3 linked regions of the Drosophila melanogaster genome follow. The protein of the gene in region 1 interacts with the protein of each later gene in a biochemical or structural test. Each region holds a gene or a part of one and is shown on either strand. Other genes may lie near its edges.

Evidence for each region.
Region 2: the proteins of side-VI (region 1) and beat-Vb form a complex in vitro, tested with the Drosophila melanogaster proteins (one study listed by BioGRID).
Region 3: the proteins of side-VI (region 1) and beat-Va form a complex in vitro, tested with the Drosophila melanogaster proteins (one study listed by BioGRID).

The regions. Positions count from the first base shown.
Region 1 is NT_033777.3:10,968,374-10,979,591, reverse strand, and holds the start of side-VI (sidestep VI), read right to left. Parts: upstream 7,212-11,218; 5' UTR 6,243-7,211; intron 1-6,242.
Region 2 is NT_033777.3:12,911,612-12,922,425, reverse strand, and holds the start of beat-Vb (beaten path Vb), read right to left. Parts: upstream 6,371-10,814; 5' UTR 6,283-6,370; exon of another isoform or gene 6,022-6,282; intron 3,983-6,021; 5' UTR 3,706-3,982; coding exon 3,657-3,705; intron 1-3,656.
Region 3 is NT_033777.3:12,842,692-12,853,520, forward strand, and holds the start of beat-Va (beaten path Va), read right to left. Parts: upstream 5,729-10,829; 5' UTR 5,263-5,728; intron 4,503-5,262; 5' UTR 4,334-4,502; coding exon 4,288-4,333; intron 907-4,287; coding exon 753-906; intron 695-752; coding exon 486-694; intron 422-485; coding exon 288-421; intron 167-287; coding exon 1-166.

The sequences.
Region 1 (11,218 bases):
TTTGATGGCGCGGTAAATTGCGGAAAAATATGTATATGCTGGCAGGAAGGGAGAGCTAAATGAACCTCAAAATACACTTACTGCAAGGCATCCTAATATTTTCAATTCGCCCGTTAAAGCTTTATTCCTTTGCTTAAGATAAATAATTAAAATATTGCGGTATGGCAAGGAAACTGCTAATGAAAATGTTGACGAGATTAAGTTAAGAAAATGAATTTAACATTTTTTTAACTGGTCATGCAGATTCCTATATATTCAATATGAAAATACTTTCTTTTAGGGTATGAATAATATCAAAAGACGACAGCAAAGGCAAAAATGATGTGCTTGCCCACAGACATTCATGCGTGTGCTGGCATCATTTTCATACGCGTCGCAAAAGTTTTGCAAGCCCAGTAAGGGCCTAAGCAGACGGATGTGGGCGTGGCCCAGGGGGTGGGAAAAGGGGCGTGGTCGAGAGAGAGGGTCGCTGACATGCAACGCGCTTTCAATTTCAGGGCCCCAGGCTAGATGCCAGTTTGGCAGAGTGTGTGTGAGTCTGGGAAATCTTTAAGCGCAGACAGGAAATATTTTGTTGCCATTTTCTATCATCTTAGCCATCATCATCATCAGCATGAACAGCAGCAGCAGCAGAAACGGCAGAAGCGGTTGAAACATTGTAGCCTCTGCTGCTTATTGCGAAAAAATCCTTTTGCAATGTCCTTGCTTTTCCACACTTTTTAGGCCCCGTCCGCTTTAGTTCTCCACGTGTGTGTGTGTGTGCGCCTGTTTGCTTTTAATAGTTCGCTCGTCCTGTGTTTGCTGTTTGCTGTTTGCTTTGCTGTCAGCGCTTCATGCGTGACAAACACACAGAGACGAAGGATCACGGAGGACATCGAGGGACACTCGACTCGAGACGCAGAAGTTTGCGTGACTAGCGCATAGAAATTATGACAGAAACCAAAAGGAACGAAAGCCGAAAACGGCAAGAAAATTCTTTGGCAATGAGAAGGACGAGCGAAAATGCTCATATTCGCGTGAAAAATTAGCCGAGCAGAGGTCAAAAGGAATCACTGATTAAAGAGTTAAGCGTTTGTCATGCCATTTTCCCCAATCCCCAGACCTATTCTGCATGCCCTTTTATCTGGGTTAATCAAATGTTTTTCTGGCATTTTCTGTCACTCTCAGTCGACCACGCCCCTGCGCCCCCTTTCATGTTCATGCCAGTGTTTGCCCAAAATGTCAAACATGTCAAATTAATTTTCATATTTGTTTTGCTTTTTAGATAATTGAATGTCTCTTTTATTTGCTCATTTCATATGCCAGAAGTCTGCTTCCGCTCATTTCGTTTGCATGTTTGTTTTGCTGTGGTTTATCTTCCTACATTTTGGGTAAGTAAATGTTTTTTTAATACAAGCAGCAAAAGTTTCCGCTCAGTCTGCTATCGATTTGTTTAAGGAACTTAAAAATTAGCAAATAAACGGAAAAGTACAGATTTGAATGGACGTTTCTGTAAGCAATTGCTTTATAAGAAGAACATTAAATTTAATTGAATATCTCCCTAAATTTAATAAAAGAAATGTTTAATTTATGAAAACATTTTTTATAATTGTCAATGAATTAGTAAGTCTACCCGAAGTACTAATTACAGTACAGAGAGAAACATTTGAATTTAAATGAGAGTTAAACGATATGAAATTAATATTTAAGTAACTATTTTGAAATGGTTGCAAAGCATGGTCACAGCTAAACAATCAGTTAAAATAAAGTTGAGCTCTATACGAAAAGCTGGAATGGCAAACAAATTGCCTAGCTTGAATGGAAATGAATAATTCAATTAAAATCGTAATGAAATTTTTGGAAAATGTATGTCAATAGTGTGTGTGCGTGTGCTTTCCAGATGTTTTCAGGTATGTCAGGAGTACAACCCAGGGTAGGTGTACTCATGTCGGTGTGTGAAGGCTAATCAAGTGGCTACCCCAGACCCCATTTGTAGAACCTTTGGCATATACATAAACAATTACACTAAGTGCCACAATTTACCAAAGGCCATAAATCAATAGTTCCAAGCAGTCGTAGTCTCTGTTTCGTTATATTAATTATTATTATTGAAATATATCTGCCGCAGTCGCACCGAAATTTCCCACTGACAATAGTTGGGCAAACAGAGAATTACAGACACTAGCCAGTGTCAATAGAGACGGGGAATCGGAGAATGTTACCCTGTCAGCCTTAAATTATAGTGTAGCCAAATTTTTGTTTGTTCTTAGCCAGTGATAACCCCAGCGAAACTGCAGCTAAAAATCAAGCTAAGCTCTTGGGCGCCTCTCCCAAAGTATGCAATGGAAATTCTATAATAAAACGAAATGTAATGGAGAGAGAGTAGGTGGTCGGGAGCGGTCTAAATAATGTGCCAGAACGGTGAGCTGGTAATAAAAAATGCAGCAAGCAGCAGGCCAAGCGGAAACGGAAATAAGCAAGCAGTCCGAAATCAGGAGAGAGAGAGAAAAAAGGACGCAGCAGCTGCAGGAACTTCATCCCGGTCTGCTCTCTCCATCCCGGTCACTTATTTCGTACACAAAGTACATATTTTACTTAAACATAAGCAATGGCTATTATTTTAAGTTACCCACGCGCTCGCTGATTTAATTTCAGACTATTATGCGCACACAATGCCAACGGTAAACGCAGAGGGAAACTGGTGGAAAACTAAAAGCCCCAAGGAGGGAAAAAGTGTGGGAGAGAGTTGAAAGTTGCCCAGCAAGACGATGCTTTTAATACACTTTGCATAACTAACTGTCAGGGCTTTTATAGTTTTACGATATGATGGTATTACCTTTTGATAGAAACGTGGCGCAACATAAGAAAAATGAAACATAAATAAATGGTTTTAAAAACAAGATATAATGTAGCTATATAAAACAAAAATGGTAATCGGGAATGCTTTCGAAACCCTATGAAACTATTGAGTATAGTTCTTGTTGTAATCCCTATACTCTTTCCTTGCAACTAGTGCAAAGTTTACTATATTCCGGGGCTATAGCAATATGCCAGTTGAGTTCTGGCCGTAGTTTTGAGCTCATGTTGCTCTTTTACTTTTTATGCTGTTGCACTCCTTCATTTTCTTGCCCCGTGCAGATTTGGGTCGACCATTTGAATGGGTTCATTTTCTGCAGCAAGTAATGCCCCATCTAAAAAAATTTCATCCTTCGGATTTTGCTTTTTATGGTACGGCTTTGCCCGCCTTCGGTCCTCCTTTAATGTTGTGTACTGGTCAACATTGAAAGTACATTATTATTCTCAGTTATTTTGTAAAACTTCAGGCAATCGTTGTCTGCTTATTGGCCGGACTGAATGCATGGCTTCATATTTTTAAACAATTTGTTCCCATTTCCAGTCCAGGCATGACTACGATTTAGAAATAAGAATTAACAATAATGAGCTCTTCTTTTGTTAATCTTCCGTATCTTATATTTAATAGTTTTCCAATCATTTATTTATACATTAATACAAGAAGACGTATAAGTTCGTTCCTCAAGTTAAGCTATTCAACCAATTATTCAAAGCCAAATTTAGATAGGTTTTCCAACGAAATTCAATCGGTCATTCCCATCTACTGTATTGGGCACAAAATAAAATCCGCAAAGATATTTGCGCAAAACCGATGCTCAATTCCCCATAAAATACAATAAAAGCGCAGGCTGTAAGCAGCTTTGATTACCGACACTCTGAACGGATTTATTTCCCCTTGCCCGATACTCTTACACTTTTTTCGAGCAGTGTACGAGTGTGTGTGCTTAGGCATTTGAAACCTGATTAGTTGTCAAGCACTTCAAGTGCCAGAGCTCTAGTTGTTCGAGACCTATGTTGGTTTGGGCTTACCTCTGCAGCTGTGTGTGAAATTTATTGTTTCAAGTTAATGCCACTTGATGGATTATTTGGCTTTGTACAGCAAAAGCTTTGATTTCAATTCTTCTTTACTTTGAAATGTGATATTCGCCAGTGTGATTTAAAGCGCTTCCATTTGAAAGAGAAGGGACGATTTGGCAAAGAGAAATACGTGCTATAAAGCATGTACTTCTTTGATCAACATAAAAAAACAAATTAAATCATTTCATTTGATTAAAGTACGAACGTGATATTCCTCAGCGTTGTTTAATTTAAAAATGGTTTTAATTAGTACACCTCAGGTCATTTGATATCGCGATTTGTGGGCTCCTGTAATGTACCCATTGGTTTTCTTTTTTGGTTTCTCCAAAACCCAATTCTTTCATACAAATAAAACCTTTAAAAATGTACTGTGATTCAGTCTTTAATTTGTATTTTTTAAATCTGACAAACTATGTAATCGATTCCTATTAAATTCACTTTTTTATGGCCCTTTTCTTCGAAAGGTAAAACAAAACTACAATATATTATCATGTTTTCATTTGAATGGCCCATATATTAGTTAATACATTTAAATCTGGTTTTTTCATATGTAATTTTGTTAGGGTTAAAGTGTAACGTAAAAATAATTCAATATTAGGAAAATGTTTATTCTGCTTATGTATATATATATATATTTATTTTCCGCTGTTCCCAGCAACCTGCTGCTTATATCGGATGTCCCAAAATTCATCTTGGATAGTTCCGCTATTAACTATTAAAATTAATTGTGAAACTTTTCACTCCGAGCTTTATGCGAGTCACACGCTTCGTCTTCCATTTGTGCTCATAAATCTCGTCTGTCTACACACACCAACTCGCATCCTTTCAGCCGTTGTCCTCAAGAGCCTGTCAACAAAGGGCCAGTGAAAGTTTTCGTGTGTCATGACAATATTTACATGCTGCATTAAACTTGCTCCCCCTGACAGGCGAAACTTTTGCAGCTGCTGCTCATGTTATTAAAGTTGCGCATACGCCAGGTTGTCCCCTGGCCAGCTTGATTTATGCGAGAAGAAGCCTTAACTTTTGGACCAGGCTTTTAATAATTTAAGCTCTGCAGAAAATCAGATCTGAGATAGCTCCCCACCCCTGATGCATCCCTGGCCTGTTGCCAAGCCACGTTGCGTTGACTGAGCCGAAAAATGCAAAAATTTCCTGCTGCCGCTCCTCGTTTCTGGCCATGTTGACAATGGCGGCAACAAAGCGCATTTGGCAAGAGCCTGCAGCCTTGCCAACACCCATACCCATAGCCACACATATACCCTTACCCATATCCACATTCACATTCACATTCACATCCACATCCACATGCGAAGACGTGCTCAGCAAAAGTGAAATGGCAACAATATATGTGCGAATGCGAATACGAATGTTACCAGCCAGCCAGTCCACAATGCAACCGGGTGCGAGACTCACTGAGTTGTATACTACTCTGCTTGCCATATATGTATGTATATAGAAATAAAAAGTAGGTTATGCACAGACAGCATTTTAATATGATTTCCATGGCTTATGTCTCCTCGGGATAGACTAACGCACTTCTCAGACTGACTAACTGACACCCCGGCATCAACAAAATGATCAAAGGCAATGGGAAATATTATCCCTGACACAATCGCAGACAAATTGTAAGTTCCACTCATCTGTGTGACCCACTTTGGCGTTGTGCCTTCAAAGAGATCAGCAGGGAATTTCAGCAATACTGATGACTAAACTTATAAAGCTTTATACCAGCAAAGTCTGACAAATGATTATAAAAAATTTATTCGCAGCTGAAGAATTTAAGAAAGCACAAGTTGTGTTCAACAGCTTTGAAAAGATTTAAAATTCCTTTAACTAATAAGTAACGTAACAAGCGTTTGGTTTTCCATAATTGTTTTACCATTTTTTGATACAATATTTTGCTGCCATTCGTTGACAACAAAATGATTCTTTAATATTAGGGAATTAGGAATGAAATTCCTAAAAGATATTTAAATCCTCCAATTTTCCTACACCGTCTTAGATTTGTTTCCAATAAAACTCTTTATTTTCATTCAATTCCGAATTATTATTACAAGAAGACTGCACTGAATTAAGCACTGAATTTATTTCTTGTATTCAGGCCTTTTGTGTGGAATTGTTTTCACTTTAATACCATTACATTTCCACATACCTCCAAGCTGAATAGAATAAATGTTTCTATTTTTAATGCTTCAACCTTCTTAGCACAATGGCCTGCATTATTATTCTTAGCATACTTTTGAGCGCTCACTTTCGTCTGAAGATTAGGTTTGTCGGTACAAAAGTATATGTACGTTTATTTTGGTAGATATTTACTTCCCACATGCACTTACCCCTGTTTCGGCCGTATTGTATCCTTTTGCTGTGGCGTTTACTCCGCTTTTTGGCGTTTTTTACGGCCTTTGTAATAAAATCAGCCCTCAGGGGTTAGGAGGAAATGGAGTTGTTGCTGCTGCTGTGCTTATTGCTTATTGCTCCTGTAGAGGGCGTGTTGGCATTAAGCGAGTTTTTATGCAGCCAGCGAGACGCACACACATCATATGAAAAGGAGCTGAAGGAGTTGGAGGAGCAGCGGCAGGCAATTGAGCAAAAAATATGGCAAAGTATTTGGCGGGTGCGAGGCATAAATTTCGATTTCGTCGGCCTTGCTTTTGCTTTGCTTCTGCTGCTAACTTTCTCGTCTTCGAATCGCCGCCAGCCGCGAGGCCAATATTTAAAGTAGCAGCCGATGCGAACTTTATTTATGGCTCAATAATGTGTATTTTGATTTATGCATTGTGGGCGCGTACACAAGCGCACATATATATAGTCGTACACTGTAACTGCGGCACACACATACACGCTCCCAATCGCACTCACTCACATACACTCACTGTATTGTTGCCTCAAGCCAAAAAGGACGCGATTTGCATAACAACACATTCAGAAACTTAACGCAGGCGTTTGAGATGTTTCTACTTCTACTTCTAGCACGTGCACTCTCGTCTCGCTTGACGTTTTTCTATTTTTATTTGGTTGTTGTATATTCAGCATTCAACAATTGCGATAACCGATTGAGATATATACTTTTGACTAGGTTGGGTGGCACTTGTTTCTTGATTTCCAGCCCAATTGCTTCGTTCGCCAGTTTGCGGATGCGGACGGTCAACACTGCGGCTACGCGATGTGAGGCGATGCGATGCGATGCGATGCCGCCCGTACGACAGCGACAACGACAACGACAACACGACAACGAAAACGAGAACGACAAACGGCGGCAACGGAGCACGACAACTACACAAATCCACGACCTTTTCAGTACTAAAGCGCCTGGCCATTCATTCGTGGCTTTGGCCACTTTTGCCATCGCCCTCCACGATTCGGATCCTTCGGCTTTCGCTCGGGTCGCGCATTTTCGACTTTGCCGAACAGTCGAATCCTTTGGGTTTCCCTGTGTGTGTGTGTGTGTGAGCCTTGTAAGTGGGCCAACACTTGCCGCCGATTCGATTTCGAAAGCCAGAACGGCTGGCAAGGGCCAGAGTATAAGAGTTTTGGTTGTAAAATCCAAAAGTCGTCTTGGTTGTCAATCTGTGGAAGCCAAGTGGTAGGTAAGCTTACCTCAAACGCTTCATGAACTTGAATTGTCAAGTTTTAAAAACGAAATATAAACTACCAGGGGCAAAAGATAAAAAAGATGTTTGTGAATGAAAAAATAAATCACTTCTTATTTTTATCTATTGATAATAATACTAAAAGTTATGAAAAGTATTCACCTTGTTGACTATATCTTGTATTAAAAATCATCTTATACCTTACTTGAAAGGATCCCAAATGTTTTTATTGTTTTTTGAACCAATATTTTTGAATATGCTGCCATGATGATGGAAGTATATCAATATGAAATCCCGATCATGATTTATTTGCGACTTTCCACTTCCCTTCCCCCCTGCCGTGGGTGTCCAGTCCTACCTCAACACCCTTTTGCCCTTGCGAACCTTCTAAAAACATATTCCACCACGCATTCCTGTGGAACCTTTTGCTTTCCCTCTCTTTTGCGTTTCCATCGAACTCACGATGTCTGCCTCTCTTCAAAATCGCATCTACCTAGATGAATGAGAGTTTCAGAAAGCGGTTACCAAGAGCATCTCGCACTTACTGCAGTTTCGCTGGTCAAGGCAGCCAGTCAAGGATCACAGATTACAATGAATACTTCACTAATGTTTGGCTAAAGTTCATGCAGTAAGACTATAAACCCAATTAAATATATAAAGTCCGTATAGGTGAATAAAAGACCAATAGAACCATTTCCGGGTTCTGGCATCGTTTTAAGAAACTCTAATGTCCTACTTATTAAACCCAAAATGTAAGCCCAGCTGAGTGATTAATTAATCAGAATTTCCTGATTGATTTCCTCAAGGTGTAGGCTAAAAAATGGCACCGCTACAACTTAACCTACACCACCATCAAAATCACGCATCACACCGCTTACAAAAAAAACTCTACTACAATGGGGTGTAAGCATGTAAGTTGACATGGGACCACGAGACCCGAAGCTCGCATCTCTCACGCTTTCTCTGAACTTTCTCTCGGCTTTCTCTGGCTCTCTTTTCGATTTCGAAAGCGTGGTTTCGCCAGACATGCGCCCGAAACCAGCAAAAAAAAAACCGAATGAATTGTGGAACGCGAAAACTTTTGCTTGGCATGAATGGGATTTTTTCAAAATTTCCAACGGTTTCACTCTTATACCACTCAAGGAAAGCTCTCGCTTTGCAAGGCGATCCACTCAAAGGATGAAGAATGGGACACATGGGTAGCACTGCAACAATTGCACAGCCTAATCTTATCAAATTTCATTTACACGCTTGGCCAAACTCTAATGGCAAATCCAATGCCGAAATGAAGATAGCACTAAACCACTTTCGTCAGCACACACACACACACACACACACTCGCGGACTCTTTTTCCTTACTTTCCCCATATATATATATAGTGTGCACATATAGAAAATGTAACTGGTGATGTTGTCAAAGTATTTGGCTCCTCCACGCGACATTCTTTGGGCCAAAATAGCGCTGGCTAAACATTAACTAAAACTGCAAAATTCCATCACTCACACACACATAATCAAAAGCCCAGGACGACACTCACACACACATGCAGTTTCGTGTGTGGTGTAGATTGTCGGTCTTCTGTTCCTACAAAATCTCAACGCTCAACCGCCAAGCATGGCATTTCATCAGGCGGCAGCAACGAGAGCAGCTGCACCAGAATCAGTCTAAAACTAATCAGGAATGGCCGATTTGATACCCATTAGTTGTTGTATTTTAGATTTTGCAATAGATGTATTGTTTCAGTTTCCTTATATCTTATAATCATTTTATCATTTATTAATTTTAATTTGTTGATTTCTTTTAAGTATAAGTAATAATGCAGTATTATTTCCAACTACCCCAATCCGAAATGAGTAGCAAGTTTAAAAAACCCTTAACCCCTTTTCCCTGGCTGGCGAAAAACCCCAGCAATGCGAGCAAAGGAAGTGCACTAAGTGCAGTGACCAAATAGCTGCCAGAGAGTCCCGAACCGGCGGCTGATCCTGCTCCGCTCCTGCTCCTGCTCCTGGGTCTGCAGCTGCTCCTGTTTTGCTGCTGTTGCCACCGCCCGGAAGTGGCAATGGTGTTGCACATGACTTTATAGCTTTTACATTAATGTGTGTGTGTGGGTGGGTGGGGGTTCTGTGTGATGTGTGTCTGTGTGCGCGACAGTTTGGCTATAAAGCAAAAGTTGCATTAAATTTAAATCATGAGACGGCGGTTTCTGTGGCCACCGCTCCCTGATGATGAGCACACACTGTCGAAAATAAATTCGGCTAATTAAATGTGTGCACTTTAAAGGGTGTTCAAGATAATTTGGTGAAAGAAAGATGAATATTCTAAAGTGAAGCTACGGCGATTTAGAGAACTAACTGCTTATCAAATATTTAGGTCGAATTTTTATCGAAATTTCGAAATTTTTCCAAAGTGAACTGAGCTGAAATGAGCTGGGCAAAGTTAGGGCCAAGCGGTGTTCAACGTTTTGTCATTAAAAGTTGAGTTGGTGATGGTGCATCGGAAAGCTTTTGGCGCTGGTCTCAAATTTGACTTCTCCTAACCGCTTAAAAAAAAAAACTAGCAAACCAGAGCCCTGCAATCACAATTAGCCCGACAACACACGCAATTTGCATGCGAATACGACGCGCTGTGAGCAACAATTACATAATTATAACGCACTTTTGATGAATTGTCATAAATAGGACTAGGCGTGTGTGTGTGTGTGTGTGTGAGAGAGTGTGCCATGGCATCAACATGCCTATGTGTGCGGGCAGGGCAACTAATTAATCAGCTTTCGTAATCAATGCTTAATGATGCAGCACCAACAGCGGCAGCACAACGGCATTTAAATGGTCTATAATTAAATCAAACACTCAATTAAACTGAGGACGAATCGAATTTGGAGCGTCAGGCTCAAATTGGATACGGTTACTGATGGCCTGCTAATGAATAGCAAGCAATACGAAATTACAGCCTGCCAGAGCCAAGTCATTGAGACCTTTTTCAACCTCTGGCGGGCGAACCTCAGATGGGTTTCACTCATTAATTAATCAAAACTTCAAATAGTAACCACAGAAACCGAACGGACTGGGCTGGAATGTGGCGCCCATCAAACTGACCAATGGGTACTCAAAGGATTGCTTTGTCCTTTGGCAGGCTAAAAAGTTATCCGTTAATTATTCATCAGGTAAGATATTCGAATGTATAAGTGCAATGTGTGGGCGGGGCATTAGAATGTTGATTTCCATCTACTTGGCTTGATAGTAATTGCCTTTGTACTTAACAGAAAATAATTACATAATTAATTTATGATAATTATCTATTGAGCAAAGAGATGCATAATAATATATACTTCTTTAAGGACATAATGAGACAGTAACAAGTATTAAGAGTGTTTCGCATTCGTTGTGCTTCTGAGAACGTTTTTCTACTCCTTTGTCTGTCCTTCTATCTTGCTTCCTTTCGGTCAAGCTGTAAATTTATTTTACCACACATTGAGATACATTCCATTGGGAGCATGGCGGGGACAAGTCTTCTGCTTTTTGGCCAAGTGGCAAGTTTACCGAAACTTGCAAAAAAGCTGGGGGAAGCCGAACTAAAAGGAAACAGCAGCACCGGCGCCGGCAACTCCTTGTTGCAGCAATCTAGATTCACAGCCAGCCGCAGAGGTGTAACCAAGTCCTTGCAACAAAAACTTTTAACACATGTTGCTGTGTGTGTGAGTCGATGTTGGTGCTGTTGC
Region 2 (10,814 bases), 1.9 Mb from region 1:
ACAGCAGAGCACTTAAAAGAAATTGGAATTGATAATCCAACTAAAAATGATGGCATAGAAATTATTAATAGAAGAAGTGAGAGATTAAAGACTAAGCCTCAGATATCCTATAATGAAGAGGATAATAGTCTAAATAAAGTTGTTCTAAATGCTCACACTATATTTAACGATGTCCCAAATTCATTTGATGAAATTCAATATAGGGATGATAAATCTTCTTGGGAAGAAGCCATCAATACAGAGTTAAATGCTCATAAAATTAATAATACTTGGACAATTACAAAAAGGCCTGAAAACAAAAATATTGTAGATAGCAGATGGGTATTTTCTGTTAAATATAATGAACTTGGAAATCCAATTAGATACAAAGCTAGATTGGTTGCACGAGGATTCACTCAAAAATACCAAATAGACTATGAAGAGACATTTGCTCCTGTAGCTAGAATTTCAAGTTTCCGATTTATATTGTCATTAGTAATACAGTATAACTTGAAAGTCCATCAAATGGATGTAAAAACAGCTTTCTTAAATGGCACGTTAAAAGAGGAAATTTATATGAGACTTCCTCAAGGTATATCGTGTAATAGTGACAATGTGTGTAAATTGAATAAGGCAATTTACGGACTCAAGCAAGCGGCTAGATGCTGGTTTGAAGTATTTGAGCAAGCATTGAAAGAGTGTGAGTTTGTAAACTCTTCAGTTGATCGCTGTATATATATTTTAGACAAAGGTAACATCAATGAAAACATATATGTATTATTATATGTAGATGATGTGGTTATAGCTACAGGAGATATGACAAGAATGAATAACTTCAAAAGGTATTTAATGGAAAAGTTTAGGATGACTGACCTAAATGAAATAAAACATTTTATTGGAATTAGGATAGAGATGCAGGAAGATAAAATCTATTTAAGCCAATCTGCATATGTTAAAAAAATTTTAAGTAAATTTAACATGGAAAATTGTAATGCAGTTAGTACTCCTTTACCTAGTAAAATAAATTATGAATTACTTAATTCAGATGAAGACTGCAATACCCCATGCCGTAGCCTCATAGGATGTTTAATGTACATAATGCTTTGTACACGCCCAGATTTAACTACTGCAGTAAATATCTTGAGCAGATATAGTAGCAAAAATAACTCCGAATTATGGCAGAACTTAAAAAGAGTTCTTAGATATTTGAAGGGCACTATCGATATGAAATTGATTTTTAAAAAGAACTTGGCATTTGAAAATAAAATTATTGGTTATGTGGATTCTGATTGGGCTGGTAGTGAAATTGATAGAAAAAGTACAACAGGGTATTTATTCAAAATGTTTGATTTTAATCTCATTTGTTGGAATACAAAGAGACAGAACTCAGTAGCAGCCTCATCAACTGAAGCTGAGTATATGGCCCTATTTGAAGCCGTGAGAGAAGCTCTATGGCTTAAATTTTTATTAACTAGTATTAACATTAAACTAGAAAACCCCATTAAAATTTACGAAGACAATCAAGGCTGTATTAGCATAGCAAACAATCCCTCATGTCATAAACGAGCTAAACATATTGATATTAAATATCATTTTGCCAGAGAGCAAGTTCAGAATAATGTGATTTGTCTTGAGTATATTCCTACAGAGAATCAACTGGCTGACATATTTACAAAACCGTTGCCTGCTGCGAGATTTGTGGAGTTACGAGACAAATTGGGTTTGCTGCAAGACGACCAATCGAATGCTGAATGAAATTTTTTATATATATTTTTCAAATTTAAATTCCTGTAAACATATTTTGTTACAATGATCTGATCGGGTTTTTCTGGGTTTTCCCCGTATCCTCGCAGCAAATGCTGGATCAGTTAACACTTCCCAGAATGCACACCACCCACATTTGATAGTTACTAATGAATATTATTGTTATGTTTTTAATTATAGACGTTATTTTTGAGGGGGCGTGTTGGAATATACTATTCAACCTACAAAAATAACGTTAAACAACACTACTTTATATTTGATATGAATGGCCACACCTTTTATGCCATAAAACATATTGTAAGAGAATACCACTCTTTTTATTCCTTCTTTCCTTCTTGTACGTTTTTGCTGTGAGTAGGTCGTGGTGCTGGTGTTGCAGTTGAAATAACTTAAAATATAAATCATAAAACTCAAACATAAACTTGACTATTTATTTATTTATTAAGAAAGGAAATATAAATTATAAATTACAACATAAACTTTATGGCACTTGGGGCCGGCAACGACTCCTCGTTGCTGTAGCCAAATATTTATTTTCGTAGCAGGCAGCCACTGTTTGCAGTGAATTTTAAGAGCGTCTATAAATTTTAGAAAAGTGCAAATAAAATATAGCGACCGGCAGAGAGACGATTTTTACACAGTGGGGTAAATCCTTTAAGGCGTATTCCGGGTTGAAATTGTCGCATTTATGTTTGGTTTATGCAAATGTTCTGCCATCGCAGCCGAGTGTCCTGGCATTTGTCAATGTCTGCGTCTATGTCCTTGTCCTTGCCATTTGAGGTTCCTCAAACAATGCATGAGCTCGTTAAAGGGGAAACCCAACCAACTGTGCACATCATTTGACATTTTGTTCGACACTCTTTTTTTTGGTAATAAATACGTTTTGCATATTGCAAATTTGCATAACCAAATAATGTTCAATAAATTTACAGAATAGTAAAAGGGGTCAATTTAAATTTAATTTAAACGGCGACGAAACAAAAGCGCTGAAAATACACTTCACCAAAATGTTTTGGCAATCAATATATTTTCGTTTAAATTCGGTTAGAATCGTTTAATCGTGTCGAATGCATCACGGCGAGATTGCTGCAACTTTTTTAATATTTTCTCATTATTAACTGCACGTTTATGACTTTATGCTTTGCACAAAAGTGCAAACTTTTCATATTCCGGAACTGTAATGTGGTAAAATTATGAGTATCAAATATTTGCTCTTGCATATAAAACTCGGAAAATATTCCGTAATAAATGTTTATAAATAAAATGTTCTATTTTTAGCAGGTCCTTTTTCTTGCTACCAGCGTTGACTTGTTTTTTTTGTATTTCCCTCGTAGAATATTGCTTATCCGCCGTGTTGCCAGAGCAACAAAAGTGGAAAAAGAAAGCTTATCTGTGGCAGACACATTAAAGCTAATTGAAATTATTATTTTTATTTGCGTTCCAAGTTCTGTACGTTTCGGTTCATTTTGTCTTTCATTGGCCATAATTAAAAGTGTATTTAAAAAACAATTTCGGCGGCATAAAATTAACATAAATTGATGCGGTCGAGGTCGGGTCAGCAGAGAAAATCAGCAGCGACCGGGTCAAAAGGCGGCGACACCCAAACAAACACATTTATTGCTATGCTAATTTCGTGTTCGGGTCACACAGAAGCCAAATGCACAAAAGCGCCGAGCGGAAACGGAAATGCCTAAACGACTATAGTCATAGTGTGTGTGTCTGTATATGTAAGCGGGAGCCACAAAGTTGCCGACAACGTGGACTTTGTCGTAAAAAAGGTTTGCGGCGGCTTGCCAAAGGATTAAAAGCAAAAGGCAATAAAATGAAAAGTTTCAAATATTTTCATTATTATGGCCCAGGACCGGGTTCTCCATAGGAGATATCCTGTGGCCAGTACTTTAACGTTAACTTACCCAGCAGCATGTGCACGCCCAGCTGCAGCAGCCAGCGGCCCAGGTCCATTGTGGGCAGCCGCCTTTAAAGTCCCCAGCTGATTTCGATCCACCTCTCTGGCCACATGGAACAATATCGAGGCGGGACGATGTTGATGGGAAGGCGAGAAACTTTGCTCCTTTTTGGCCAAACTCAATGGCCGGCCATATTTTCTATTAGTCCAAACTTTCGGGGGCAAAACTTTTTCTGGTCTACGCGCCGCCTCTCATGATTACATCGTCCTTTATCTACATAGATATAGTTTCGATATCGATAAATGCCATTGACAGGTCAGCAGGCCAATGAGCTAGAAAAATAAGTGAAGAGTCCTGGATAGCTTAAAAAAATCTTTCACTTTACCATTTTGTTTTAAGGTTATTCGATTTTAAAACTTTTTTGGCGTCCAAGCGCAAAATATATTCTTTGTCTAATAACTGTGCACGCAAAGAAAAGAGGTTCAGTAGCCGTACTGAAAAACCAGTTAAAATATAATATAAAATCCATTTATAACATTTAATGGTACTGCATATATATTGATTCTGAAATATCACAAATATATGTTAAAACCCAAATGATCTAATATGACCATTTTTCTCTGTGCATCTATAGACCACTCCCTCGCCCGCACATGTCTGACTTTTGTAAAGTTTCGGCTCGGCTCCGTTTTTTATTAAACTTTTCTCGGCTTTTTTTTCGCTTTCATTCTGTTTGGCCACTGCATTTGTTTATTGTCATTGTCAGCGTTATTTAAACGTTGACAGTTTCAAAAATACACCAAGCTCCAGCAGCAGCATAGGCAAAACAAAAAAAAAAAAAAAATTGAAAATATAGCAGACAACTTTGTCTGCTTCAGAAGCCAAAAATTCTCATAGCTGGCCGAGGTCCAGGCAAAATCTGAAAGTCTGGGGAACAGACATCCTGACCTCGGCAGGACGCTTCAGGCTTTGTGGCACAAAGTCCTTTAATGCTCTAATCAAATTGTGGCTTCTTTTTTGTGGGCTTCCCCTCGCTAAAACTGTTGTTATTGTTGCTGATGCTGTCCTCATTGTTTTGGTTTCATTGACGCGTTTATTAAAATTACCGTGGCAAAGTTTTTGCTGCGGAACGGCACTTTATTTTTCAAAAACAGACGGTGAGCCTCTGAACTATGAGATGGCCGTTGACAACTAAAATTTTTCGCTTAATACACAGGTGGTCAAGTAAAGTAAATAAACAGATTACAATTATTATTGGAACGGACAGAAACAGGTCGGAAAAAGAAGGACTGACTGCAATGTGTATCAGTAAATATTTCAAATATTTAAATCAACGCACACCTAAATTAGACAAAAAAATTATTTCAAAAGTCAATAAATGACAAATGTTTTGTTTTCACTGCATTCATTTTTGAATCTTGCAAGAAAAACGACACCTTCTTTATGTTATAAATTCATAAATTTTTGTACTAGCTTTATGTTTGTTTCACTAAAGCTGTAAATCGTTATCTATCATTTTAGATGAGTAAGCAAACCATATCATTGTCAAATCGAAAAGCGAAAAGTCATTGTTCTTCTGCTAGTTTGAACACTTGTTAATTGAATTATTTTTATGCAATTTATATTGCTGATTGACAAGATCTGGACGAGTAGTAGATGCCAGACAATAAAAATATTTTGACAAAAATATGATTTGCAATTCCCCAAGCCAAGAATGCCACTCAAGCATGCACATGACAGATAACGAAATCAAATCGAGGACTACGCAAATGCACAAAAATACGATTCACATACTAGAGAGCAGACAACAATTAAAATGGTTCGAATTGATTGTTGCAAAAGTAGACTACGCTTATGCAATTAGACAAATGCTTTGTGAGACTGACTTGCTGATGAATCACCAGGACTTTTCCCCAAGGCGCTCAAAATCTCGAAAATCGTCTGTCTTCCAATTATAATATAAATATCAAATTAATGGCAATATCAGGTCGCACTTGACGTTTCCATTTCCTTTTCGATTTCAAGTGGTAGTTGCAGTTGTTTGGCATATCAATTTGCTCTCAATTTGTTTTGCATTAACATGGCGTATACGCAACATGTTTCCCATCGAAGTAGACAATGTCAAGCACTCACACATACACTCATATCCGCATGACCCCAAATGTAACTCACACGTGCACACCCAGCGCGAGAGAGAGAGAGTGGGAAAACGATAGTGACTTAAACAGCTCTGCTTGAAGCTGAGTTAATTACTTAATGGCAATGTAATGTATACACATACATAATTAACAAACATTTCATTGACTGGCTTAAATGACACACATGCACACCAACACACACGTCTGCAGTCCTCTCTTTCCCGCATACATACCCCTCTCTTTCGGTACGGATGTCTAAAATCTACACATGACTTTTGAAATATTTATGCACTTTCAGTCTGCCAATGCTGCTGCACCGCCATTTTGCGATCTATTACAAAATTTGCATAAATCCATAATTTCACAGCACGTGTGCGATAATTTTGATATATTAGATTTTCAACTTGAATTTAAATTTTTAAATTTGCTCCATTGCCCTGTGTGTTCCTCTTTTGTCTGTTGACGTCGATTTAAAAACAACAGATGGACCGTACCGTATCGCTCGGCAGCGCTTTCCCTTCGTACCGCTCCGCACCAAAGTTGCCGTAAAACTGACTACGGCCAGCGGACTCCGGATTCGGGATTCCGGCACGGATTCTGGGGAACTCTTTGATGCCGCGGTTGTACTTTCGCAAGACCTCCGCCGACACAGCTTCGTTTTAAGTCGGGAGTTTCACAGAGATTTCTCTCATTTGGAGAACGGCATTGAAAGAGAAGGCCAAAGGCCGTGTCATTGGGCGCGGTATGGCTCTTGGATTTTCTCTGGTTTTAATGGTGTTAAAAACTGTTGGGATGCTGGTTCTGTTAGCTTGTGGCTTTGTAGCGTCTGTTAAGGGTCTGTAATGTAAGGCTAACAGAGCGGAGACTTTGAAATCAACAGATGTTAGGCCGGGACATTGCATGTTAGTACTAACATTGACCTCAACAGAGTATGTAAAAGAGAGTAACAGAATTTGATTCTTATTTTGCGAACTTGAAAGTATAGTAATATAACAAATATTATATAAAAGCCATCCATATATGGAATGCTTCGGCTACAACTAAAACAAACTAATATTATAATATTTTTCTAATATGCGTTTAATGGCGTGAACCAAATTGTACCAAAAATACCCCTGCAGCTTTTACTTATTACAATAATGATAATATATTATCAATAAATAAGGCTGTAAAGTATGCCCTAGGGCTAGAACCTAACAAAATAAACTACAACCTTTTTCACCAAAAAAGAATTGAGTAAATCCCTCAGATAAAATCCAATACAAAGTTGCTTAGCAGGAGAATTAACCCGCGACGGCCTTGTGCACTGAAGTAGACAATTGAAAACAACATTCTCTACCCAATGTCAACCCACTCGTGGCGATGTGGCGGCCAAATCCTATTAGCCACATGCCACTCCTTGTCGCTGTTGGCCGCATTTTGGCCGGCAGACACGGCGGAATGCATCCTGCAGCTTAAGCCGCAGCTGCAGTATCAGCTTGGCTCGAAAAGAAATGGAATTTCGACGGCAAGCCGCTTAGTTTCTTATCGATTTCATTTGTTTTGCTTGAAACGGGCTGCCGGGTATGGGGCGGAACTGCAAGGGGGCGTGGCGGGGTATTTGGCGAAACAAATGGCGAATGGCTGCAGTTATCAGTTACTCACAGAGTTGCAGCTGCTGCTCTTGGCAAGGCCAAACCGGGGTTATCTCATTTTGTTCCCGATCCTGTAGCTGAAGTCTCTGCAGCTGTCAGCCAGGCTGATGTTAATGTTGTGCTGTGGTTTGTTCAACTCCTGTCATTCCGATGAAACACACTGCCATTGTTGCAGACACTGAAAAAAATGGCGAGCAGAATATAAATTCTTATTCTTATTTACAAAATGTGTCCGTGCAGTGAAAAAGAACACTAAAATCGATTACACTTAGAGAATAATTATATAAGAATAGGATCAACCGTGAATAAATAAGTAACTTTGTGCTTCCAATCCATTTGTCCCATAGTTGTCATGTACAACTTTTAATTCAATAACGACAGCCCAAACTTTTAAGATAATTATTTTCTTTCATTCATTAAGCTGTCAAATAAAATATCCCCCCTATAATGCAAATGAGTTTACCTTTAATGGGCTGCAAGTTGATGGTTAAATTAAATTGTGTTAAAAATAAAATCAACTCAAATCAATTCAAATGAATTTTCCACTCAGCTCGGCCGGCAATAATTAATTTTTGTACATTTTCGTCACAGCCACTGGTAGCTTGTTAAAAATCAATAAAGCTTATGGGCTTAATGAGCTCGCTAGGTGATGTCACACGCCCTCGACGTTCGTTCGCATTAAGCTGATTTAATATTCAAGTATTTATTGAATATATTTCACACTTTTTGCCACCAACTTACATCGCCATGAACTGAAAATAATCGAGCATATTTATTTAATTTCAGGCATTATTGTCGCCTGCCCTCTCCGGGGATTTGGGCCAGGTCACGATGCAAGCTCGTAAACTATGTGGAATTTGGCACAATCCGATTACTTAGTCCACTGGAGGTATGCAATTTTTCGCGGGGATCTTCTTTAATTGAATTAACTTTAAAAAATGTTAGGACTATTAAACAAGCTGAACAAAGCATTAAACTTTATAGGATTCGAAAAAAAATATCCTAAATGTTTGATTTTAATTTAGTAGGATTTTTATGCATGCAGAAATTTAGTAACTTTTGTGAATGGCATTATCAGATATTTTAGAGTGTGCTTTAAGTATGATTCAACCAATATATGAGACCGTGACAAATTTTTGCTGCGGTAACCCTCGAATAAAGTGCACTTAAATGCTTGAAAAATTGATTAAAACGTGGGCCAGAAAGTATGCCGATGCAATGGTAAATATATGACCACAGCGATTTCCCCCCGGTCAAAGGCCATTCTCGTATTTTGCCGTTGTTGTCGCCGGTAAAGTTCTTGCGGTAAAGTTTTTATTTTGGCCTTTTTTCCGGGCAATAGCTGCATATCCGTAGATGGCACGTGAGTTTCCCGTACCCGGCGCATGACCAAGGGACTAATGGCACTCTCACACACTCGCACACTTGTCACGTGTTTAGACTACAACAAATATGCTAAAAATGTTATGCCAAAAGCCATGCAGGCGATGGCACGATGGCTAAAGGGAGCAGGGCATTTGGATTTTGCATTTTACAGCACCCGAAGGCAGCGCAGCTGCTAAACTTGGCGCCGTTTGTTGCCATTTGCGAAAATGTGCGCGAGTATTTTAAAAATGCATTCCCCCACCTCACAGAATCCAGAACGGGACACATTCGACTGCATCCCATTCCACCCATCACGTTCTGGCCAAGTTAAGGAAGCCGGGACAGGAGCTTAGCTCATGGTCATATGATACTGAACGAAAAGGGTGCACCAAACGTTATGAAAAATGTCATTTAAAGAACAGGGTTCTAATGAGGCATAATTAGTACAAAGAATTTACCTTAAAATATATGTAAATAATAGGTTGAACTATATGAGATACATATATTTTTTCTTAAATTTAAAATGACATTCTCAAAAACTGACAAAGTAGAAGGCATGTGAAACTTTATAGAACTTTTGTTTTAAGTTTAAACCTTTTCTTCTTTCAATATTCTTTCACATTTTTGAATCGTGTCATTGAGGCACAAGGGTTTCGGTAAGGATCAACCATACGGGAATGTGTCGTGTCATCTTGGTTCCTCGGGGATTAATGGAGTTGCAGCAGACGTGTCGTGTGGGTGGTCCCAACATGGCCAAGAACTGCCCCTTCCGCTGGCGCGATAAACTTCAAACATGATCGGGCAAAATTTACATTGAGTCAAAGTTTTGGTGGCTAAAAAGTTCTTGGCTCTTGATTTTTCATGAACTGCCATGGCCGTCTTCGTCTGGCGCTCTTGGCGGCTCATTATACAGATGAAAGGGAGGTTGGGCATGGGTTTTGGCCACTTGGCAAGATGCTCGCCACATTCCTAGGCAAATACTCGTAAATAAGCAGCCGCTGTGGCAACAATAATGCGACTATTGTCGCTGCTGCGCCCAAAAGTATGCAGCGAAATGCGAAAAACGAAAAAGGAGCCGCGGCAAGTTTATTAAAAATCTGAGTTTTCCCCGCCTTTCACCCACGGCCCCTGGTGTATTATTATTGTTTTCCTTTTTGGCCTTTCTTGCGCCTGTTTTATTTCATTCCTGCTGCTTTTTTTTGCTCATTTTTTTTGCCTTGTGATGTTTTTCGACGTTGGTTTGTTTTTATACCCTGACAGTGGGCATTCTATTTTTCTAAGAAAATTGTTAAATAACTAAACTAAATTATGGTATACAAATACAAATTAGCCCATTAACTTCATTATATCAAACAATATTGGCTTCCATTTTTTTGCTTTTTAGGATTCCTGAAAATTCGTAAGTTTAATGTGTCAAAGTAATTTTTTTTAATTGGCACTTTTGTTCTGCTGCTTCTATACAAGTTGATTAAAAGGGTATTTTAACAGTCGAATGTATTTGTTTTTTTTATTGCACCACTTGGCCCGGCTAGAGCTACATGCACTTGAGTTTCATTTGCTTGTTCTCCAGAATGGCCTCCGTTCACCACTACCACCCCCTGTTCGTCCTTCGTCCTTGCCGCCCCCGTCTCCCCCCTCACAATGTCAGAGAGTGCATTAAAAATTGTAGTGGCCCGAAAAGTTTTATGTACATTGCCAGAAAAAGCGGGATAGAGGGAACCCAGCGAGCGCCAAAAGAAAACCACAACAAAATGAAGTCGAAATGTTGCTGCCTGCTGTTGTTTCGCTTATTGTTCTTGTTGTTGCCTTGTTCTGGGCCATTATTATTGCCCATGATGTCGTTGTTGTTCCTGATGCTGCTGTTGCTTTTGTTGCTGTTGCAACTACTGCGGTGCAGTTCACTTTGTTAAATTATGTGCAGCATTTGTGGGCGCACTTTTTAGACCCGGCGACTGACCTTCGATCGCCACCCAACTCAACTCAAACCACCACCCACTCCCCTTTTGCGCGGAGCATTTTACTGAAGA
Region 3 (10,829 bases), 1.9 Mb from region 1:
GATAATTTTCAATTTCCGCAACGCATTTGAGCTCCAGGATTTTCCCGGCCTGGAAAAAGCGCTGCCCCTGCAAAAAGAATTGCACCTGAAGCCGCTGTCGCCTCAGTACATAATCATGGGCCGCCAAACTTGTGTCCGTTGTGGGATACAGTTCGCCTAAGAGCGGCTGCAAAGAGTGCAAAATTTAATTGAATTAGTTAAATACAAACTTTATAACGATAAACATTATCATAGCCTTTTGGTTATAACTATATTATTATGGCTCTTATTTAGTGAATGGAACAAACCTGCTCGCCATTGATGTACCAGGTGAGTCGAGTGGGCAGGCTGGAAAAATCCGATATGCAGGTGGCTTTAAGGTATTCCTCCATGCGATACATCGAGTTGAAGCTCTCGATTAGCGGGTCGTTCTGAGGCAGTGCTAAAATATTAAAATAAAAAATTATTTACTGAAATAGATGACCAAACTATTATGGAAAGCTCACCTGCAACAGTCATGTTGTCGGCCTTGTCCGCCAGCTTAAAATGGGGCGCATCGCCGCTAACTTCGCACTTATAGAGTCCTGTGGACTTGGCACCTTGTAAACTCAAATCCAGTCGACAGCTCGATTCGTTGCACACGTATTTCCCCTCCAGCACTTGCAGACCAGCCACATCGAAAGTCATGTAAATCGGACTCGTCAAGGGGGAATATCTAATCAGGATATTGAGTCATTGAGTATTTATTTTTTAGTAGAACTAGCAGTGGTTACCTGAAAAACTCCTCGTGATCTTTGTACCATTTGACCGAGTTTAGCGTGTGACCTCGCATATCGTAGCTGCAAGATAAGGTCACATTGTCCCGAAAATCTACGATCTCGGGCACACTGATATCCGTCACAAACAGAGCATATGCGATTGGGTAGTCTAGAACACATAAAGAAAAGTGTTACAAATGTGTATAGATCCAATATTCTATTGAAATTTTGCATTCCTTTTTAAAGCTTTTGATCATTTTGAGATGTTGTTTTCCCCAAAGAACTCGATGATCAACATATACCATATTTGTTGTACGAACCGTAGGGCGTGGCACATATGTATGCTTTAAGTATGGAATGACTTCGTATCCCCGAAATGCTGGATAGCAAAGCCCACAGGCCAATGGCAAAATTTTGTTGACCAAAATCCAGGGACATGTTCAGCGGTAGGTGTAGTATGCGTAATTTTTAATTTGCCCAGGTGACTGACCTGGGAAAATGGGAAAAGGTGGGGGAACACGGCTGGTGCTTTGTGTCCAAGTTCTGTCACATGAGACATCGAATAAATTTCAAATTTCTTGAAATGAATATGCAAAACAGTTAGTTGGGCAGACGACTACCTACGTAAGAGCAAGAAAAAAAGCAATGGATGTGGAGCCATATGTATCTGCCATATGGTAGTAGGTAGATTCTGACATGGCTGACCACCAACCCAATAAACAAGCAGTGGGTGGCTGGTCCAGCAACTGATAAGAAATGCGGACAAACCAAATGTCAAATGACTCGACTTTTGCCCCCACAAAAATAAATTTAACATGAGCCGATATGAGCGTATAAGAAGGAGTGCAAAGTAAAAGTAATTTTGCAACAGGACATGACAGATATTCAGCAGTTGGAAATCACTTATTTGGACGATGCTTAACTTCTGTAGGGATCTTATATTTGTAATTAAAAATCTGTTTTATAAGCTGAAATAGGTGTACAAATATTAGGCGATTCTGAAAAAGCGTTGGGATATGAAATTCCGGCTTAAAATACTTTTTAAGCGAGTGTATGAAAAAATGTACATAATTTATTATATATTCGGCTAACACCATTACATTTGTTTAAAGTAGTTCGATTTTACTAATGCTTTATTTACAATTTAAAAAACACCTTGTGCACTAACCACTAAAGCTTTTAGGCATTCTGCGCATATGCAAATTAACATAAACACAAACAATGTCGCACAATTACACAAATAAATATTTTATTCATATTTATTTGAGATACGTGTGATTAAATGTGGCAAATTGTTAGAATTCATTATGCTTTTAAATCAACGGAAAATAGTTAAAACTTTTAGCCATCCGAGGGAAAAACAACTAAATTTCCACTGCATAGGTTAAGCTGTGTCTCCAATAAAACGCAAAGAAAGGAGAGGGTTAAGCTGGGACTGAGATACCAACGTAGATATATTTACACCTCAGCACAGGAAAACTTTGCTGATAATTAACCTGCACATTTCATTCGAGAAAAGGCACACACATTTACCTACTCATACGTTTAACCCAAAGCCAACCCACTGAAATCCGCACACATATTCTCCCAAGTGAACACATGCATTTTTGGGACATGACCATCGCCGTACAAGTTTGGTGATAAATTCATTTGGAGATGCCGAGTTGAGACATTTATGCAAACATTTTTGCGGTGGCATGTTTTCTTGAAAATAATTCTATGTGGTTTAGTGGCGAAGATTTTCTTTCTAAAAATACATACTCAACTGTTTCACATAATGGAGTATAGCAAAAGTAGAGAAAAAAAGTCACACAACTTTTCTTTCTACCAAATACCTACTTATCAGCTAATCAAATTAATTTTTAAGTTTCTTTGTAGTTTGTTCATTAACTGTGAACAAAACAGGATAAAATCTCTAGAATCATAATCTTGAACTTAACTGTGTACAAATTTCTTTAGAGTTTGATAGTCTTTTGTGGTAAGCACAAATATATAGATATATAAATATATCTTCATTTTATTTGCTTGCGCAATATAAGCCACAAAGTGGAGAAAAAGAATCTATAAGAGTCTGGCAAACAGGCAAAGTGTTTTTCCTATTTTTAGTTGCGTATAAATCCGCAAATTAATTGGGTGCCATATGACTGAAGAGTCCAACAGATTTCAAAAGTAAATAAATAGGTCCCAAGCCTTTGCTATTTGTTGTAGTTTCTTTGCGGTTACCCAAGGCGACATCGTAAATTGGACGTCACACAATGGACAATATTTAATTCCATTAGGCAGGCCAAATTGTTGTTGCCGGCAAACACTCTTAATATAGAAGCGTCCACAGAAATTGAAAAGCTACAACTCCACAGCAGAACTTTTTCTGCAAATCCTTTCTCCGGCTCTCTTTGTGGTCAAAGCCTTTGTGTGCGTGTCCTGGATAGCATGAATTTCCTGCATGAAAGTTTTCCGAGGTGAGTGTGGAAAATGTACCAGTGCCCGTGCAAAAAAAATCGCAGGGAATAGCACTTAATCTATCCACAGATTCTATCAGTAGGTCAGAAGGTACTATACGGTAATAAAATATATATAACATATTGTTGGTTAGATAAAAAATATAAAAAAATAATATTTAACAACGGAGTAAGTTAAACATTTTTATTTTAAATATACATGGGTTATACATTTCTGACAATTGTGCATAACTACATGGCACACTCTATAAACATTCTTTAGAATCATAAAGTTGTAGAATCTTCTTTTTTACACTAGCCAATTCTAAACATTTATTAGTTCATATCAAGCTTGCCAGAACTCTAACCAATTGCAAGTTAGTAGGTTGAAAAGAAAAAGTGAAAACCTGCTTTGGCAGTTGAACTCTTCCAGCACTCTCGCACACATGATGGAATACAATTTCTAGTTCTCGACGAGAAGAGTGAAAAGCGGAGTGAGCCAGCTCATTTAATGCGCTCCAAATTAATTGCCCCATTGCCATTGGCAATTCGAGTGCAGGGGGGAATAACAAGTCGTGGAAAAGCGGGTAAATGCGGAGGGCGGCTGCCTTTGGCAGTTTGCCTAATTGCGAGCATTTCAAAAATACAATTTAAGTTTAAACTGCACTCAAGATGTGCTGCTACTGCTGCTGCTACTGCTGCATCAGCAAAAGTTCAGGCAGCAGAAATTACCGAATGCCAAAAGGGTCGGCAATGGGAAGGGGGGGCAAGTGCAGCAACCACTGAAACTGCGGCAGCCGTTGAAATTATGGCAAAAGTCATTAAAACAGCCGGAGGCAAAAACTTTGCCAATATTGATTTGAGGTCGGTGTTCTCGGTAAACACCAATAACAATTAAAATAATAACAAACCGATTCACAATAAACGACAAGGGCGATTTGTCCGGATCACATTACGCATACGCACCGTTGCCTGCAAATCCCCGCGAGCGCTTCATTAACCAAACAAACACTGCACTGAATGCACTGCAACCAAATGTCAATCCCCGAAAACCATAAAAAAATAATATTAATTTCCTCCGTTTCGAGCGGCGGAGGACCACAAAAACTTACCAATTAAAAGTGCGATGAACAGAAACATCAGCCAGCCGTAATCCATTTTTTGTCGTCGTCCTTATTGTTGCTCTTGTTTGAATAAAATTAATTGCTTCCAGTTATTGTTGCTCTCGGCTTTTGCAGTGGCGTTGATTTATGCAGTTTATCCCCGTCCTATCTCCAAGTATCCCTTTGTATCGAGTGTTTGGAGTCGGAAAGAACGCCCAAAAAAACTAGAATCGAACAAGCAAGTGGAGGTCAAACGAGTAGCTCAATTAATTGAACACTGTGTCAAAAGGAGACGTACAAAAGAAGGACTCAAAACCCACAGCGAGATGGAGTAACGGCACAAGAGAATATAAATAAATAAACTCAGCGACAAACTCATGCAGAAAAGTTCAAAGGATACGCTCTGTCAGTGTCGTTATAAATAAATAACAAACGTTAGAGCATTTCGGAAAAAAGTAACAAAGTCCAAGGAGCTGGAGACAGGATATACACGGAGAAAATAAAAATTGGCATGTAAGTAGTGCTTGACAAGTACACGTTTTATGTTTATTATTCAAATATTTATTTTGGATTGTATAAAAAATAATCAGGAAGTAAATATAATATAAGTAAATATGAACCTTCTACTAGTCCAATTAGAATAAGACAGAAAATGGTGTGCTATCAAAATTTGATATTTTATTATCTTAGCAAGTTAAGTTGTTAACTTGTCTTCGACGTATCTCATGAGCACTTTACTTCTCTGTGTACGAACTGGCTTAAAAGGGAAAGCAGGAAAAAACAGAGAAAACAAGGACGTGTGGGCGTGGCAGACGCCCTGGCATCCTGTCTTGTTGTACTTCTCGTGTAGGAGTGTGTGTGCGTTTGTCAACTTAAATAATTTAAATGCCAAATTCAAACGAATCCATGTGTTTAATATTTGAATAAGCCATCCACCTGCCACGACCACGCCCCCTTTTCGTTTGAGACCCCGTGCTCCAGTACCTTTTTTCCTTAGGTTTCTTGGTTTACGTTCACTTTATTTTTGGCTCGGTTGTTCTTGTCAATTTAGGTTTTGTCGGAGTTAACATTAAACTGAAATTGAAGCACTCAACGGAAGCGGAAGTTGCCAGTCCAGTGCAATTTAAACTTGTTTCGTTTTTGTTTAGCAAGGTTCAAGAGTACTTTCGGAACTTCTGCCTTTTTCTTTTCACTTGGCAGCTTGGCTTCGCTTAGATTTTTTGGGTTAATATTTACTTCACGCTTGGGTTAATTGACCTTTCGGCAGGACTGATGAAGTGTGTATATATTCCGTCTTACAGATATTAAGTTATATGACACAATAACGAATTACGATTTTCTTTATTTGAATTAATAATCTCCATGTGTTTGTGTGGTTTTTGTTTTTATATTGTGCCCGATTCGGTCGGCGATTGAGGACTTCTGTGGAAAGTATCTCCGCGCGGCTTCAGGCTTACGAACTGACTGAAGCTGCGACTCGGATTCGTGAGTTCAACTTCACGGATGCCACTGCTGTCGGCTGCGCAGTCGGCGTTGCCGTCTCTGAAGGACTTCGTGACCGGCTGTCGTGTAATATGGTGCGCTCAGCATCTGAAAGGACCTCGGGAGCATCACGATGCTCGGTTACACGACAGCTGAGCCTGTAACGGGACCCATGGGGCCGCGAGAGTCGATCCCAAAGAGCGTATCTAAGAGAGGCGATGAGATTTGTAGCTTTGTCGCCCAGTCTGTTGGCATTCTGCATAATGGATGTTATTCTTAACAGCATAAATGTTATTTTTAACAGGCCTAAACATAACATTTATTAGATTTGTCATATGGAGGATATACTCTGTTATTTAATGTAAAATGATTGCCTTAAGTTTTTCAATATTTAATGATATCTAAATATAAATAAAAACTTAGAAACTTGAATAAACAACATTGCATTCATCTTGAAATTCCACAATTTTATGATCGCTGGAATTTTAAAACCCCTTTAACAGTTAGTTTTAGCCGGTTAATTTAGCCAGTAACAGGCCCGTATGAATGGCCCGTTAATACTGCGGCCATCTCAAAAAGTTTGCTTTAAAACCAAAAACACCTTGTGCTCTGTTGTTGCTCTTGCCAGTGCGTGTTTTATAGTTAACGGATATCCTTGGTAGTTAAATGCAGACAACAAACTGAGCAGACCGAAGGAAAAGTCCGTGTTGCAGCTGCATGTAAAAATATTACGTGCATAGTGGGCTGCTCCTCCAGCGAGGGAGGTGGTACGTGGGTGTGATGGCGGTTGTTCGCTTGCTGGTGTGGGCGGGATTCTAGAGCGAATGACGACGACGGCAGCACAAAGTCATCTTATCATTTCATGAATAATGCAGGGATTTGTTAGGGACACATGACTGGAATTTTACGCAAAAGTTGTGATGATGTTGCTGCTGCTGCTGCTTCTACTGCTACTGCTGCTGCTGCTTCTTTTCCCTTTGCCAACCGCCAACACTTTGAGGTTGTTGCTATTGTTGCTGCTGTATGTTACTATAAAACTGCAGTCTGCTGGGTGCGGCAATCAACAGAAAATTGCAGATTTTAAATTCAAAGCATTTTGCTCGCTGTCCCTTTTAAGCTCGCTTCCTAGCTTGTTGGCCCACCTTCCCTTTTTCGTCCTGTAACTTAATTCCAACGAATAATTTCTGATGCCCGAATATGAATATTAAAACAAAAGCAACGTGCGCCTGAGCATATGCGACACTTTCTTTTGCTGTAAATGGCGTTTCCGGATCCGGTTTACTCGCACGGTACCTGCCTTCATCTGCCAGCTATTTATTTTATGCGAATTTCGCTCATCTCCGCTCGCAAGTAACGTGACAACTCAAACTTTATGCCAAGCAGCAGAAAGTTAAAAAGAATAGAAAAAAGGTATGCACAAAAACTTGCCAAAAAATGCAGAAGCTGCGCCAGCTCCCCACACACACACACACGCATCTGGATGGAGATCCGTCTGCACGAGGGTGGGATAAAAAAGTTTTCCTGAAAATAAATCAGAAATTTTAAAAATTCATAACTTTAAGTTTGCTTTATGACTTTTGTTTATAACGTGTTACCACACTACGTATGCGTTTCACTCGCCTCGAAAACTTGTCCGCCCCAAAGGGCCTCAATAATTAATAAGATATGCTCAAATATGCGGGGAGCAAGCTAGAATTATTCTGAAAAACTCGCAAAAAACTGCAGACTTTTATCTACCGCTTGCATATTCGTATGCAAAGGTTGTTTGGTTGAAAATATCAACCCCAGAGCTCTGAAATAAATTTTTTCCGTGATTCTTTTCAGTCTGACATTGCAGTGTGAAATAATAAGTTGCTAAATCTACGACACATATTCTAGATAACCTGTTTATTAAAAATATAATACTAATTAAATGTTTTACAGATGTTCGAAACATTTTATTGTTAATGTTTGCATGTCTAAGTCTTTGCTTTTTACAGGCGTAGGCTTCGAAAGACTGTCTTTTCGTAAAAGGTTGTTCTCCAGCGGATCGACCTATAAATTGAGGACTACTTACCTTCCCCTAGGACTCCATCACATTGACACACTTTTTCTCCCCAACTTCTGCAAGATGCCTGCAATCAAGGAGCCGTCATTTTTGGCCGCAATTGGTTCATCCTAAGAACGCTTTTCGCTGCCTTCCGTACAGTGTAGTGAGAGAAATTACCCCATCAAAGCCTGATATTTTAAATATGTATAAACTATGTTAAGAAATTGCATAAAATATATCTTTTTTATGTTTTTTTTTTCATTCTAAAAGTTTTACTTGCCGTCTGTTTGCTTTAAAAATTGCATGATTACTAAGCCAAACATTCTATGTTACAGTGTTGTTATGAATTTTTATACAGTTACCTTAATGAAAAACTAAATTGTCAATCAGCCATGAATTGAATCAAATGAAGTGTAAAATTACAATTTCATCCAATTTGCAATTAACTCGACGAGAAGATGGCAAAAAGAGGAGAATTCCTTTTTTCCAATTTCAAATTATTCCAATGGAACGCACATGCAGCTGGACGGCGAAGGGTTTTGTATTCGTATCTGTGCGATTCGCTGGCTGTTTACAACATATATATGTATATATGTATCTATGTGGGAACTTTCACTAGGAAACAACATTTTGTGGGTGGGGGAAAACCGCCGTCAACGGTTAGGGAAAGGGTGCGCTTTTCTTCTGGCTGCAAGGCACCTGGAAAAGTGCAAGTTTAATTGCATCGAGTGTAACTAGTTAATGGCTGAAATTGCAAATTGAAATGGTGACAAAGTAATTGAGGTCAGGAAACTCCCCTCGGAGTCGTCGAATCGAGCGCTAATTACAAAACGGCCATTGCAGCTGCCAATGGGGTCACTTGGCAGGTTTTCCGTGCGTCGCGTCGCATAGCATTGCATAGCAGAGCATCGTGTTTCGTTTCATTTTCCGGCCATATCGGAAAATATGCAACAGCAATTGCCACGGCAACAACGGCAGCTGCCAAAGTTGTGCGGAATGTCAAAGTTTCCCCATTTCCGTCCCGCCTGCACTCTAAAAACATTTACAAATTGATTTTTTGTTGCCGCTGTCATGTTCGCAAAATATATATTTTTTGGCTTTTTAAATGGCTAGGCACAAAGCCGCAACGGGACTTACGCACATTCGAATACCGAAAGCGAACTGACGTATTTAATGGAACTTTTTGGCACAATAATAAAATGTCCGTAATAAAACGGTCATTTGCATGTTCATTTCAGCAGGGCCGCCATAAATGCAAACAACTGGATTTCGCTAAACCAAATTCGAAAGTGCTGATGCCGGACGATGGCTAAAATTAGCGTTTGCCATTTGCTTGTTAGCCATGTCCCCCGACAAAATGCTTTTTGACACGACCCATGGATATTAGTGGCTGCCAATGAAAATTTATTGAGTGGAGAACCGCAACTGAAAAACTCTTAATTCGTCAGTTTATAAACAAGGTGATTGAACCTGAAGCCTAGCACTTAATTGCACGAAAACACAATGAAACTTGTACTCTACCTTCTCAAAAAAAATCCATTTAACGTAAAAGTATCAAATTATTTTGATAGTATCAAATCATTTCAGTATCAATAAGACCTTAAGTGGCAAAAAATTTAAATATTTTACAGCTACTTGGTATAAACGCAATTTATTGTTTGATTTACACAACAAACAGTAAGTATACGCTCGACACTGAAATTTCCATTAATTTCTGTTTTTATTGCTTTATATTATGCAGATCTAATCGAAACTACATTCTTTTAATGGACCTCTCTTCACTTTACATTAAATACTTTATATATTTAAAGGCTGTGAAGTAGAGTTTTTTTTTTATTAATTGCAAATAATAAATCGTTATTACCATGCGATCCACAAACATTTGTGAAACAATCAATCATTGGCAAATTAAGTTAAATATTCCCAAGAGCTCTTTTGAAGTATCAATAGCCTCCAATTAAACGAGCGTTGCATCACTGTCCCATCGCCCCTTTAGAAAAACTTAACAAGGGCGAATTTATTTAAAAAAAGTTCATAGGTGAAAATGCCAACTCCCAGCAGTAAAAAGTATTTACAGCATGTCAAGAAGGTTGGAAATTTAAGACACAATAAAAATCATAAATACCCTTTCCAATATTAATATATAATATATAATATAATATATATATATTAACTTTAATGTAGTTCTATTTTTCAATTTAAGTTAATAATTTTTTACACGTAAAAATTGCACATCAAAATGTACAATTTGATTCCCAGAAAGGGCATTTCAATCAGGTGTTGATCAGCGAACATTTCAATCAATCAAGCGAGAGCGGTGTGAAAATCATACAAGCGGCGTGAAAAGGAAACGGAAATTGCTGCGAATTGTGTGCTGTCCACAGGTAAACACATCCGTGTCCACATATTACATATATACTGCGAGTACCTATTCGATTCGCTGCTTGTGCTTGGGCAGCTGTAAATGCCACTTGATTTCAATATTTCAATCAGCGATGCGCACAGTTTGTTAAGCTTTTTGCATACATTATGCAATTTGAGCGGCCACAAATGATGCAGGTGCAGTAGCAACAATAACATCATTAGATCCAACCGCCGAAACTCATCTCAGTTGGTCTGCAATCCCGCCAATGGCGACATTAAATCATCGATACAACAAGTACCTGTTAAGGGCTTTTGCCGCATTTCGAGCCACGGCTTCCTTTCGATTTGCAGTTGGCCAAGAGCCCGGAATTTTCATGTGTAGCCAGTCGATATGGAGAGAAAATTCGATCACTTACCATGAGCATACATTTTATGTACGAAACTATTAAATGGTAAACGTAACATAAATTACCCCTCTGTAGACAGCACTTTTTGAAATAAGGTAATATGTCAAATACAAATTTACCTTACAATTTCAAGACCTTTAAGTCTTTTGCAGTGTAACAGTCGGCTTGGACTTTTATTTGTTGCTTGTCCTCGTTGCTTGTGCATATTGTGAATGCGCGCATTTCGAGCACGTGATTGAGATTTTTACATTTAAAACGTGACTGAAATA